Linked DNA regions of Cricetulus griseus. The protein of the gene in region 2 interacts with the protein of the main gene of each other region in a biochemical or structural test. Links are inferred from orthologs where the notes say so. Each region holds a gene or a part of one and is shown on either strand. Other genes may lie near its edges.

The links.
Region 1: the proteins of Rbpj (region 2) and Spen form a complex in vitro, tested with the Homo sapiens proteins (2 studies listed by BioGRID and IntAct). The link is inferred for Cricetulus griseus from reciprocal best matches to the Homo sapiens genes RBPJ and SPEN.
Region 3: the proteins of Rbpj (region 2) and Notch1 form a complex in vitro, tested with the Homo sapiens proteins (5 studies listed by BioGRID and IntAct, with this or other methods). The link is inferred for Cricetulus griseus from reciprocal best matches to the Homo sapiens genes RBPJ and NOTCH1.

Annotation. Positions count from the first base shown.
Region 1 is NC_048595.1:11,780,627-11,784,276, reverse strand, and holds part of Spen (msx2-interacting protein), read right to left. Parts: coding exon 1-3,650. UniProt on the Homo sapiens protein: May serve as a nuclear matrix platform that organizes and integrates transcriptional responses. In osteoblasts, supports transcription activation: synergizes with RUNX2 to enhance FGFR2-mediated activation of the osteocalcin FGF-responsive element (OCFRE).
Region 2 is NW_023276807.1:121,908,549-121,912,198, reverse strand, and holds part of Rbpj (recombining binding protein suppressor of hairless), read right to left. Parts: intron 2,777-3,650; coding exon 2,639-2,776; intron 2,485-2,638; coding exon 2,372-2,484; intron 404-2,371; coding exon 263-403; intron 1-262. UniProt on the Homo sapiens protein: Transcriptional regulator that plays a central role in Notch signaling, a signaling pathway involved in cell-cell communication that regulates a broad spectrum of cell-fate determinations.
Region 3 is NC_048599.1:137,857,337-137,860,986, forward strand, and holds part of Notch1 (neurogenic locus notch homolog protein 1), read right to left. Parts: intron 3,617-3,650; coding exon 3,359-3,616; intron 3,275-3,358; coding exon 3,162-3,274; intron 2,327-3,161; coding exon 1,755-2,326; intron 1,551-1,754; coding exon 1,149-1,550; intron 19-1,148; coding exon 1-18. UniProt on the Homo sapiens protein: Functions as a receptor for membrane-bound ligands Jagged-1 (JAG1), Jagged-2 (JAG2) and Delta-1 (DLL1) to regulate cell-fate determination.

The DNA.
Region 1 (3,650 bases), on a different chromosome or scaffold from region 2:
TAGGAGATTCACAGGCCCGGCAGGGGTGCTCACTAAACCTTTCAGTGTGGCCACTGAGCCCTTCACGGGACCCTTTAAGGCATTCACTGGGACCAGAGAGACATTCACCAGGCCAGTCAGGGCACTCACCAGGCCAGTCAGGGTCTGAGGAGCTGGTTTTGCCAATGTTATCTTCTGCGAATTCTCCAGGTCAATGCTGACAGGCATCCGGCTAATAACAGATGTGATTTTAGGGGCAATGACCGGAGCTACTTTCTCTTTGTCAGCAGCTACTGGGACCTCTGAGGGCTGGGTGTCAGAAGCATTTGATACTGGAGTTGCTGACTTTTCTTCTAAGGGAAGATGTTTGGGTTCACCTGGAGGGACCGGTGCCTCATGCAGACAAGGAGCAGCACTCACGGGCTCTGCGATGGCTGCGGTGACACTTGTGGAAGTAACACCTGTGGCAGATACATATTTGGGATCCATGAGGATCTTCCTCAGTGTACTGGAGCTGGTATCCACGTCAGATGCCTTTGTGTCTGGGGGAAGAGCTGGAGATGGGGTGGACTGAGTCTGAGGCTCCTCCTGTCTTGTGATCCACTCTGTCACCTTAGTAGGGGGACTCTGATGTGGGACTCCCCCAGGAATGACAGGGGGTGGGAGCTTTGCTATTGTCACTAAAGGGATTGTGGGTGGAGGAATGCTGGAGTCACTGGGTGGAGTCACCGGGTCACTTTCGATGATTGAATGCACCTTGAACCTGGCCTGGGGTTCGTCACCCACCAGCGATGGCTGGGAAAGAGGAGGGAGGTCAGGGGGGGCGGGTGCTTTGCAGGGGGTCGTTTCTTCAACACTGCTTTCCTGACACAGACTCTCGGCAGGTGGGGTCTTGCTTGGATCAGAAGTGCATTCCTGAGGAGGAGTAGACGGGAGGTTTTCACTCTGCTGTTCTTCCTGGAGAGCTTCTGGGGGTGCTGCCGTTGCCTCGTTAGCAGCAGGGCTCTCGCTTTGAGCCTGCTCAGCCTCAGAGGCACGAGGCTCTATGGCAGTTTGTATTCCTTTCTTGTTTGTATTCCTTTTCCGGCGTGACCGTGTTGTCTTCTGACGCCCTTTGTCTCTTCGGGGAGGAGTGACTTCCACTTTAGACCCCCTGGCTTCCTGTACAGCATCACTGCTGTTCTCTCTGGTTTCCTTGGTGTCTGCAGAGCCTGCTGCAGGGACCGAGGCACCGAGCTGTGAGCCAGAAGACTGGGAAACAGCATTTGCCTCTGAGTCTCCAGATGTGGCCCCAGTGGGCCCCGGCTCCATTCCTTCCTGCGGATGTGCCTGAGATCCTGTGGGGAAGGAGGCAGAAGCAGACAAGTTTTCAGGCTCTCCAGAATTGTCACTGATAATGGACCCAATGGCCGCAGCCAGTTCGGTTTCGCTTGCCTGGTGTGCAGGCTTGTGGCCATCCTCCGGGGCAGGGCCTTCAGAAGTCCCTGTGGCTGGTCCCTTGTCAGCAGTACGGGAGGAGGGCTCAGTGAGCTTTGCGATGTTCTCCACAGCCTGCTCCAGCTCCATCTGCTTGGCTAGCTGTGTGGCTTCCGGGGTCACCGTGGAGGTAGACGCATCATCCTTCTCTGCTGCCTTCTTAGGATCAACTGGGTCACTTTTCAGCTGACATGAGGAGCCACTTTCCTTTGGGGGGCTCTCATTTTTCTCAGGAGAGATTGCCACAAGCCCAGCTTCCTTGTCCACAGCCTGCCCTGCAGCCCTGGTGGCCATGTCCAGGCTTCTCAGATGTGCAGCTCTGTCCATTGCTGACCTGGTGTTACGGGCCCGCCCTCTCTTTGATTTGGTGCCTTTCTCGGGAGGTGGCTTGTTCTCCACTGCCTCAACTGGGAAGGGGTCAGGTCCATTTTTGTCTGTGCTGGTATCTCTCCGGTCACGTTTTGAATCACTTGCTGCTTCTTTATCACCTCTGGACTTAGCGTTACTTTCCCTCGTGTTCACCTGGGCACTGCTTTCAGCAGCAGCCTCAGCTTTTTGATCGTTTCTCCCCCTTTTCCCATGGGGTCCGCCAGTGGCAGCTGACTTCTGCGACCTCGGAGACCTCCAGCCCTCAGCTGGCTTGGGTGTTTCTGCTGGCTCTTTCGTCTCATGCTCTTCATCGTCCTCAACACGCCGGCGTGTTTTAGGAGGCCTTCCCCGCCGAGGGGTGGTGGGAGCTACTGTGGCCTCCTGCAGCTCCCGCTCCAGTCTCTTCCTGGTCACTCTGGGCTGCTCAGCAGGCTCTTTAGCTGGAGAGCGACTTTCGTGGTCACCCATGGTGGCATAAACGCTCCTGACATTCCGGCGCCTGGTTCGGCTGAGAGGTAGGCTGGGCTCAGGGAGCTCAGGGTCCCCCGCAGAGCTTTTAGATGCAGCCCTTGTAATCTTCTCAGCCTCCACCTTCAGTTCTAACAGCTTCTGTGCCTCTCCTCGAGGAGAGCTGGACCGCTTCAGCTTTTCCCGGTCTATCCTCTCGCTCTTTCTGGTGACAGGCTTCTCCACGATGCTTGTGGCAGCTGCCTGGACCGGTGTCTTGGAACGTTTGTTTTTGTTTGTCTTCTTGTCTCTTGCAGCAACTGGAGGATTGGCCTCTACATCTTCAGAGGCTGGGGGCTGAACTTCAGGCATGACTTCGGCTTTCTGAGTGGCACTGGGCTCAATGCCTGGAGCTGCATCTGGCTTCTCCACTTTCGGCTCTTCGGCTTCCTCAGACTTCTGAGCCTGTTTGGAAAGTGGCTGGGGACTACTGGGTTTTGGGTCTACATTGCTTTCTGCCTTGGAAATTGCAGTCCCAGGAGTCAGAGGCTCAGCATCCACACAAGGGATGGCGTCAGTACTTGAGCTTTCTCGAGTAGCCAAAGGGGCCACAGCAGTGCTTTCACTGGTGCCCTCTCCTGGGGTTAAGTCCACCTGCTTGGGCTGTTCCACAGGGGCAGGAACCGGCTCACAGGCGGACTTCACCTCTTCCAATAAGGGGGCTGGCTCTACAGGCTTCTCTCCTGCCAGTAAAGGAGCCTCTGCTGTTTTCTCAGCCTTCTCTGGTGCTGATGATGCTGGTTCTGGCGTCACAGGGGTGACCACAGGAAGCCCAACTGAAACGGGGGCTTTCGGCTCCAACTCTTTAGTCTCAGTGGCAGGTTCCGGGGTCTTGGCAACAGTCTCTGGGTCCTCATGTTTCTCAGCCTCTTTGGGTTTCTGGTCCTTCTCCTTCTCCTTCTGTTGCATCCGTGTGAGCTCCATGAATCTGCTGTGGAACAGGACCACTGGCTCCTGGACCGAGTCACCTGTGCTACTGGCCCCCTCAGATGCTTGTCTGTTGTACAGCCTCCCGGGAGGGAAGTCAGACTCCTCCCCCTTCCTCTCAAGATGCTGCAGCCGCTTGGAGTCCTGCTCAAAGATGGAGCTATGTAAAAACCTAGAGGCGAACAGCTCCTGCCGCTCCTGCTCCTCCTCCCGGTGGTCATCCTTCTTATCATCCATTTTCCCCTCCGAGTCAGTCCTGATTTTCTTCTTTTTCATGTACCAGGATGGAATCGGTCTTGGGGCAGAGTCAACCTTTTCTTTATCTTTGTTGTTTCGAAAATTAGCAAAGCGGGAGTCCCAGTCAAGGAAAGACCAGTTTTCCTCTCGGGACG
Region 2 (3,650 bases):
TGTGAGAGTAGTGTGTGTGTTAAGGACCAATAACCTAAGATAAACATATGAACCCAGCTTCTTGTATGTGGATATAATTGACAACCAGTAAGAAGGATGTCTCTGTAAACTGTTAATTCAATAGTTTTTCAGCACATTTCATCCAGTCATTACTGATCTGCACTACTGGGGTTGAATATAGTGCTGGGCAGGTATTTGTCACAAAGCAGCACCCTAGCCCTATTTGCATAGCTTGGATTTCACCAATCATTTTATAACATACCTGAAATTGGATTATTCTTTCTTGAGAAAGGCACAAGTACATTCTTTCTGTATCCTTAAGGTAAAATGCACATTTGTGGAGTTGTGATACAGGGTCGTCTGCATCCAGTAATGCTGTCTGCTTATCAACTTTCCTAATTATCTGTATTCCAACAATTTAAAAAAGTAAGTCATCCACATGCAGTTTTTATTTTATACACTGTCATAGGCCATAGAATACACTACATGATGATGTATCAGTCACTAGCCTTATACCTACGTATTAGACATTATTAAGCAATAAGGTTAGGAATAAAAAGTCATAAATTTTATAAACATATGTTTATTAAATGTGGAAATCACCCCTTCAAAGAATACATTAAGAAATAAGGAAAGCGTTCATTCATTGTTTAGATTAGTGCTTTTTGAGATGGCTCAGCCGTTAAAGGCTAGGCTCACAACCAAAAATATAGATTAGTGCTTTTTAAACATTAATATATACATAAATTGTCTGGAGTTCTTGACTAAAAATGCCTAACACACTTGGGGCCCAGCATTCTACACTTGTACCACACTGGTGCTGTGAATGCTGCTAATAGATACAAGGATTTTCACTGTAAGGTTCTAGTGATCTTTTCAATAATATATAAATTTAATACCTCAAGGAAACATCTACAGTAAGCTACTATATCAGTGCTTCTCAACTTTCCCAATTCTGTGACCCTTTAACACAGTTCCTCGAATTGTGATGACCTGACCCCCAAAACCATAAAATTATTTTCACTGCTAGTTGATAACTGTCATTTTGCTATTTTTCTATGAATCATAATGTAAATACTGTGTTTTCTGATGGTCTTAGGTGACCCCCTATGACAAAGCCACTCAAGGATCCCTGGGGGTGGAAACACACAGGTTGAGAACCACCAATCTAGGCATTCTAGAGAACCCATGTGTGTACATTAAAGACAATGCTAGCAAACTTTAAATGATACAAGGCACAACAGGTAGTCACTAAGTTCCATGGAGAGAAACTGCTGCTTGTTCCCAAGAGCATACAAACACATTATAAATACTTATAAATACTGTAAGCCTTTTCCTTCAGCATGCCTTTCCTTCCCTCTCCCTAAGCCTGTTTCTCAGTGCTACTTGAGAAAGACAGACATCGTTCTCACAGTCCAGTCTCCTGAAGCCTCCATAACAGTGGTCCTCAAACTCCCTAATGCTGAGACCCTTTCCTCACATTGTGGTGCCCTCTAACCATAAAATTCATGGCTACTTCATAACTGTAATTCTGAAACTGTTACAAATTATAATGTAAATATCTGATATGCAACCCCCAAAGAGGCCACAACACACAGATTCAGAACCACTGCCCTATAACCTTCTGTCTCAAAGTTTCCTTTGTTAACTATTCACCAAGGCCACCAAGAGCCTCCAGAAAGGTGACCCTCATGCATTTCTCCTCCACAGGGCTTCACAGCCTCTGAAGCACCTGATTCAGACATTTTTCCTAGAGCCATGCCTGCTCTAACAGACCTTTCATAGTGCCATTGCATATGTCACAACTAGTCAACATTTCCACTTAAGATATTTAATATGCATCTTAAACTTACAGTTCTGGAAAGCAGAATTTTGGGATTTTTTTTTTTTCAACTTACAGGGAAAAGAGTGTCTTTATAGTTTTATGATCTAATGAACAAAAATGCCCCAATCCTGTGCATTGTTCCCAAAGCAAGAAATTAAACTCTACCAAATTTTAAACAAATGTTTCAGTCAAGTAGCCTAATAAAAATTATATGTATGTATCTAGGCTTTTGAAAACTTGGTCCTACATTCAGATACAGCAGGTAACACACACAAAGGAATACAGTATATCTGCAACATTCAAGAAAAAAATAACAGACACACAATCAAAAAGGGAACCAACACCAAATTCATTTAAAATGGCATAAGAGACTGACCTCAGCAATGCACTCACAGCAGACTAATTCTTTAAGGGCACTTACGAATTGAGGCAACGGCTAATAGGGGATAATTGGGACATTACATTTTCACATCTAAAAGTATAAAAACTGAACTACACTTTTCTATCTCTCCTAGTTTGTTTCTATCTCATATAACCAGGTCTTACCAATCTTGGGAGTGCCATGCCAGTAACTGAGCACACAAGTTTGACAGTCTGTCCATAGTGGATGTAACCATCTCGAACTGTGAATTCCTCTCCTTCTGATTCATCGTCATCCACTATAGTGGGTGCAAAATAGACAAAATTGCTATCTTTTAAAATTTAGTATATGTTTAAGACACAACAAAATGACTATATTCATACATTTTATCCCCCTAAAGAGAATATATTATTTTCATACTGAAAATATCAAATGTGTATTTTTATACTCACAGAGATGAATATAAAATGCTCCCCATTGTTGTGAACTCGCATGGAAATTTCCTCCTTCTACATGCAGGTATCTGGTACTAACTGTCTGGGATCGAAGTCGATTAAACAAAGCCACCTTTGTTCCTGAGGCAATGCACACTGCAATGACAAGAGGATTCCTATTTATATGACTGAGGCAGAGGTTAACAAAACAAAGGATTTCTGCTTGGCAAATTATGAGTATTTTTACAATAATACAAATAATGAACAGATTCTGGTGGCAAATAATTTAGCCTTCTAAGACAAGGGATAGCAAAAAAAAAAAAAAAAAAAAAAAAAAGAAAGAAAGAAAAGGAAAAAGAAAACAAGGTCTATTTCTTCTCAATATTATCAAGATAATGACATAAAAGATTTTCAAAAATTGGGTTGTTTTTTTTGTTGTTGTTTGTTTTTTAAAACTAGTTTCAGTTCTTTGTTTTGTTTGATTTTTCAAGACAGGGTTTCTCCCATAGCCCTGTCTTGTCCTGGAACTTGCTCTGTAGACCAGGCTAACCTCAGACTCGGAGATCTACCTGCCTCTGCCTCCTGAGTACTGTGTTTAGACATCACTGCTGCCTACTTTCATTTCTTTTTAATTAATTTCATTTTTAATTTAGTATGGGCTTTACAAAAAGCAGAAGTAAAAAAAAAACAAGTAATGGAAAGAACCATGTTGTACCCTTCAGTCAGCTGTCAACTTCTCACTCAGAAAGCGTTACACAATGCACTTAATGTTGTGACAATTATTAGTTGGAAAATTATTTTAAAAACAAATGTCTATTGGTAGACACTTGATTAAATTGATTATAGTAACATTCATGTATTTCAACTATGTCTACATAAATTCCTGGAATATTACTGAATGAAAAGGCCAATGGTGAAACACTCTATACACTGTGGTCCTACTAAGCAACAAACACACTTCTGTATGAGCACAGGAGCGCTTCTAGGTACTTTCATTAAAACCCTATAAAATACATGTTGAAAGGTCTCT
Region 3 (3,650 bases), on a different chromosome or scaffold from region 2:
TCCAGGTAGACAATGGAGCTGGGAACACACACATCACACTGAAATCAGATACAGCGTAGCATGCTGCCTGTACACCAGCTCTGACTCCCTATCCTATCACCCTGACCCAGAGAGCATATCTGACAACAACAGCCCAGCAACTGGACAAGTCTCCCTGCAGCCTCAGTGTTTAGCACTCAGCAGGGGTTCTTCCTACTGCCCAACATGTTTTTCAGCCTTGCCCCTTAGGTACCACAGCACCCCTTTCTTCACCTCAGAGAAGAGAATGTCCTCAGGCACTCAGTGCACTCTTGAGAGCAGTAACCTGGTGCCCCACAGAAGTGCAGGGACGGGTTGTGGGTTATTCCTCAGAACTCCCCTAGGAGTGGCCGGAGACAACAGCAGGCTCAGATGCTAGAGAGCTGAGACTCTCATGGCAGCCGAGTCACCCACTCTCAGTCATGGCCTCTCAGACACAGGATTCTAATACAGCTTCCAGGGAACAACACATTTCTAACTTTTACTGCGGTTCCATACCAAGGAAACCAGGACTAGAAACTGCTGGGGTCAAGAGACACCAAGGAGCCACCAGGCAGATGCCCAGCATCTCAAAGAGGAATAGGTGGCAGGCTCCTGGAACCCACAAATTCAGGGTATGGGGGTGACCAGTATTGCAAGGACCACATCAGTCCTGGCTGGTGCTTCTCTGCCTGTTCCCAGGTGGCTCTGTGCAGCATCCATGAGATGCCCTTATTTGTGCCTCCTCATTGCCACCCTCAGCTCCTCAGCCTTCAAGGCTCAGCAACAGTGCCTTTCTGCATTTCCCCACCCGCCTCCTCTGCAGTGTGGATAAGGAGGCTATAGAGACTGAGGTGCCGGCTTGGTCTAGGATGATTTAGCTCCAGGGACCACCCTGGAGGCTTTAACCAGCTTGGTCCTGATTAAACACCTAATACATAGTGGAGCCTCAAAACCACAAGCTGGGCAAAGAGTGAACCCTGCCAGGTACCTAGAGAGAGGTGGCCTCCACATTCCAGGTCCTTTTTGACCATAAAGTAGGGTGAATAATACCTCCCCAGAGTTCACCTCCAGGGTTGAGCTGGTAACAGGGCCCAGGAATGCACTAGGAAACAGCCCACAGAAGCTGGATCTGGATGGAGCTCACTCACCCTCTGATGTCCATGGGGTCCAGCTCCCTGCGCTGGCGCCCCCCATTGGTGCTGGGAAGCAGTGAAGAGGTGGTCCAACCCACTGCAGAGCGCTTGATGGGGTGCTTGCGCAGCTCTTCCTCATGGCCGTAGTAGGGGAAGATCATCTGCTGGCCTTCTGCATCACGCTTGAAGACCACATTGGTGTGCAGCACGTGGCTGAGCTCCCGCAGGAAGTGGAAGGAGTTGTTGCGTAGCTGCTCAGGTGGGAGCAGCACCACCAGCACCAACGTGCCAGCTGCCAGTCGCTCAGGCACATGGTCTGCACAGTCTAGCCCATCCCAATCGCACTCGGCACTGTTGCAGCCCTGGTCACAATGGCCGTCACTGAAGTGGTCCTTGCAATACTGGTCATACAGAGGGCTGAGGGGTACAGGACACACTCAGTCACATCCCAGCCTTGTGGGCCTCACACCCACCCTGACTGGCCCAGACCTAGGAAATGTGCTTGGTGTCCCCTATGGGGAGGGATAGACATTGGCCTCATGTTCCTGGTATTTGTTTGGTTCTTCCCCCCGCAGCTGTCTGCTGAGCCCTGGGACTCTGAAGCCACCGAGCCTTACTTACTTGCACTGTCCCTCGGTGCGCTGGCAGTCGAAGCCATCAAAAAGGCAGCTGGCTGAGTTGCACTGGCTGTCACAGTGGCCATCACTAAAATACTTCCAGCACTGTAAGGACTGCGTGCAGTTCTTCCAAGGGTCATTGAAGTTGAGGGAGCAGTCACCACCATCCCAGCCACATGCGTGATTATTGCACTGCAGGTTGCAGACCTTGTTGCCTGCATCTTCCTGGCACTCAGGCAGCTCGCAGGCCTCCTCAATCTGTGGCGGGGGAATGTCGCGCCCAGCACCACCTGTGAAGCTGTAGTCCAGGATGTGGCACAGCAGCCCGTTGAATTTGGCAGGGCACAGACAGCGGTAGAAAGGGCTCTCGGATGTGGGCTCACAGGTGCCCTGATTGTAGCAAGGGTTACTACCCACACAGGGGCTGCTGGCTGGGAACTGGCACTCAGGGCCAGTAAAGGAGCCCAAGCATAGGCAGGTGGGACTTCGTGGGCCTGAGATACATGTGCCACCATTGAGGCAGCGCAAGCTGCCACAAGTGCGGGCATCATTCTCACACGTGGCACCTTCAAAGCCCTGTGGTGGTGGAGAGAGGATGGTGCATTAGAGCAAGGTGCTAGAGTTCAGGAACACCATGCACCCCATCCTAGGCCTGGCCACATCTCATGACCTATGAAAGGTGTCTATGGCCTTTCCGAAGTAATAAGACCCTTTAACATCCTCACCATAGAAAGGTCAGGATTACCACAGGCTTTGAAATGGAGGGATAGCTAAGAGGGCAGAATCCTAGATTTTAGAACCATGAAAAACCAGGCTGACACTGGTACATTATATGTGTATGAATTTCTGAGTGTTAACACCAGAGCAAATACTGTACCTCAGTGCCAGCTATAAGTGTGATCCTCAACACCTTCCATGCAAGGTGGTAACCATAGGAAATGGCAGGCAGGGTGGGGACTTGGCCCTCCTGATAAGTTCTCATGCAAACCTAAAACTGCCTCAAGATGAACATTTATTTAAAAACAAGAGGCTGGGCTGGGACTCAGGGGCAGAACATTTGCCCAGCATGTGTGAGGACCTAGGTTTCCAATACAACATAGCAGGAAATAAACTTTTTTTAAACACGGACTTGCCCTGTAGCCTAACGTAGCCTTAAATGCAGGACAATCTTTTAGCCTCAGCCCCCAGAGTACTAGAATTACAGGTATGTATGTATTATGCCCACTCAAATTTTAAGAATGAACTGGGAGAGTGGGCATGAGGAAGCATGGGGCTTGATCCCTAGCCTTGGCTAGAAGCCTTCAGGCTAATCTACCCTGGGCGTGGGACATGTCCACCCAATGTAAAATTCAGGGGTTCTGGCACCCTTAGACCTGGACCTTAGCAGCTGCACAGGGCCAGGGGCACCTACCGCAGGGCACCTGCAGATGAATCCGCGGGCAGTGTTGGAAGCCACAGCACAGACACCCCCATTCTTGCATGGTTTGCCCCTGCAGCCGTTGATGACTGACTCGCAGCGGCGTCCTGGATGAGAAGACAGTAAGGAGCTAGCCCTGCCACCACTGCCTGTCCACCCAAGGCGCCTGCCCACCTGCCCAAGGCACGCACCAGTGTGGCCAGCCCGGCACTCGCAGTGGAAGTCATTAACACGCTGCACGCAGTCTTGGGTGCCTCGTGGGTCACAGGGGTTGGAGAGACACTCATTGATGTCACCCTCACAACGTTCTCCGACGAAGCCTGGTGGGCAGGTGCAGCTATAGCCACCCACCTGGTCCACACAGGTGCCATTGTTGAAGCACTTGGGGCTTCGGGAGGCAGGGTCAAGGTGGGGATGGCAGTCATCAACGTTGATCTCACAGTGTACACCTGCAGAATGACCATGGACACTGTCAGAGGACAG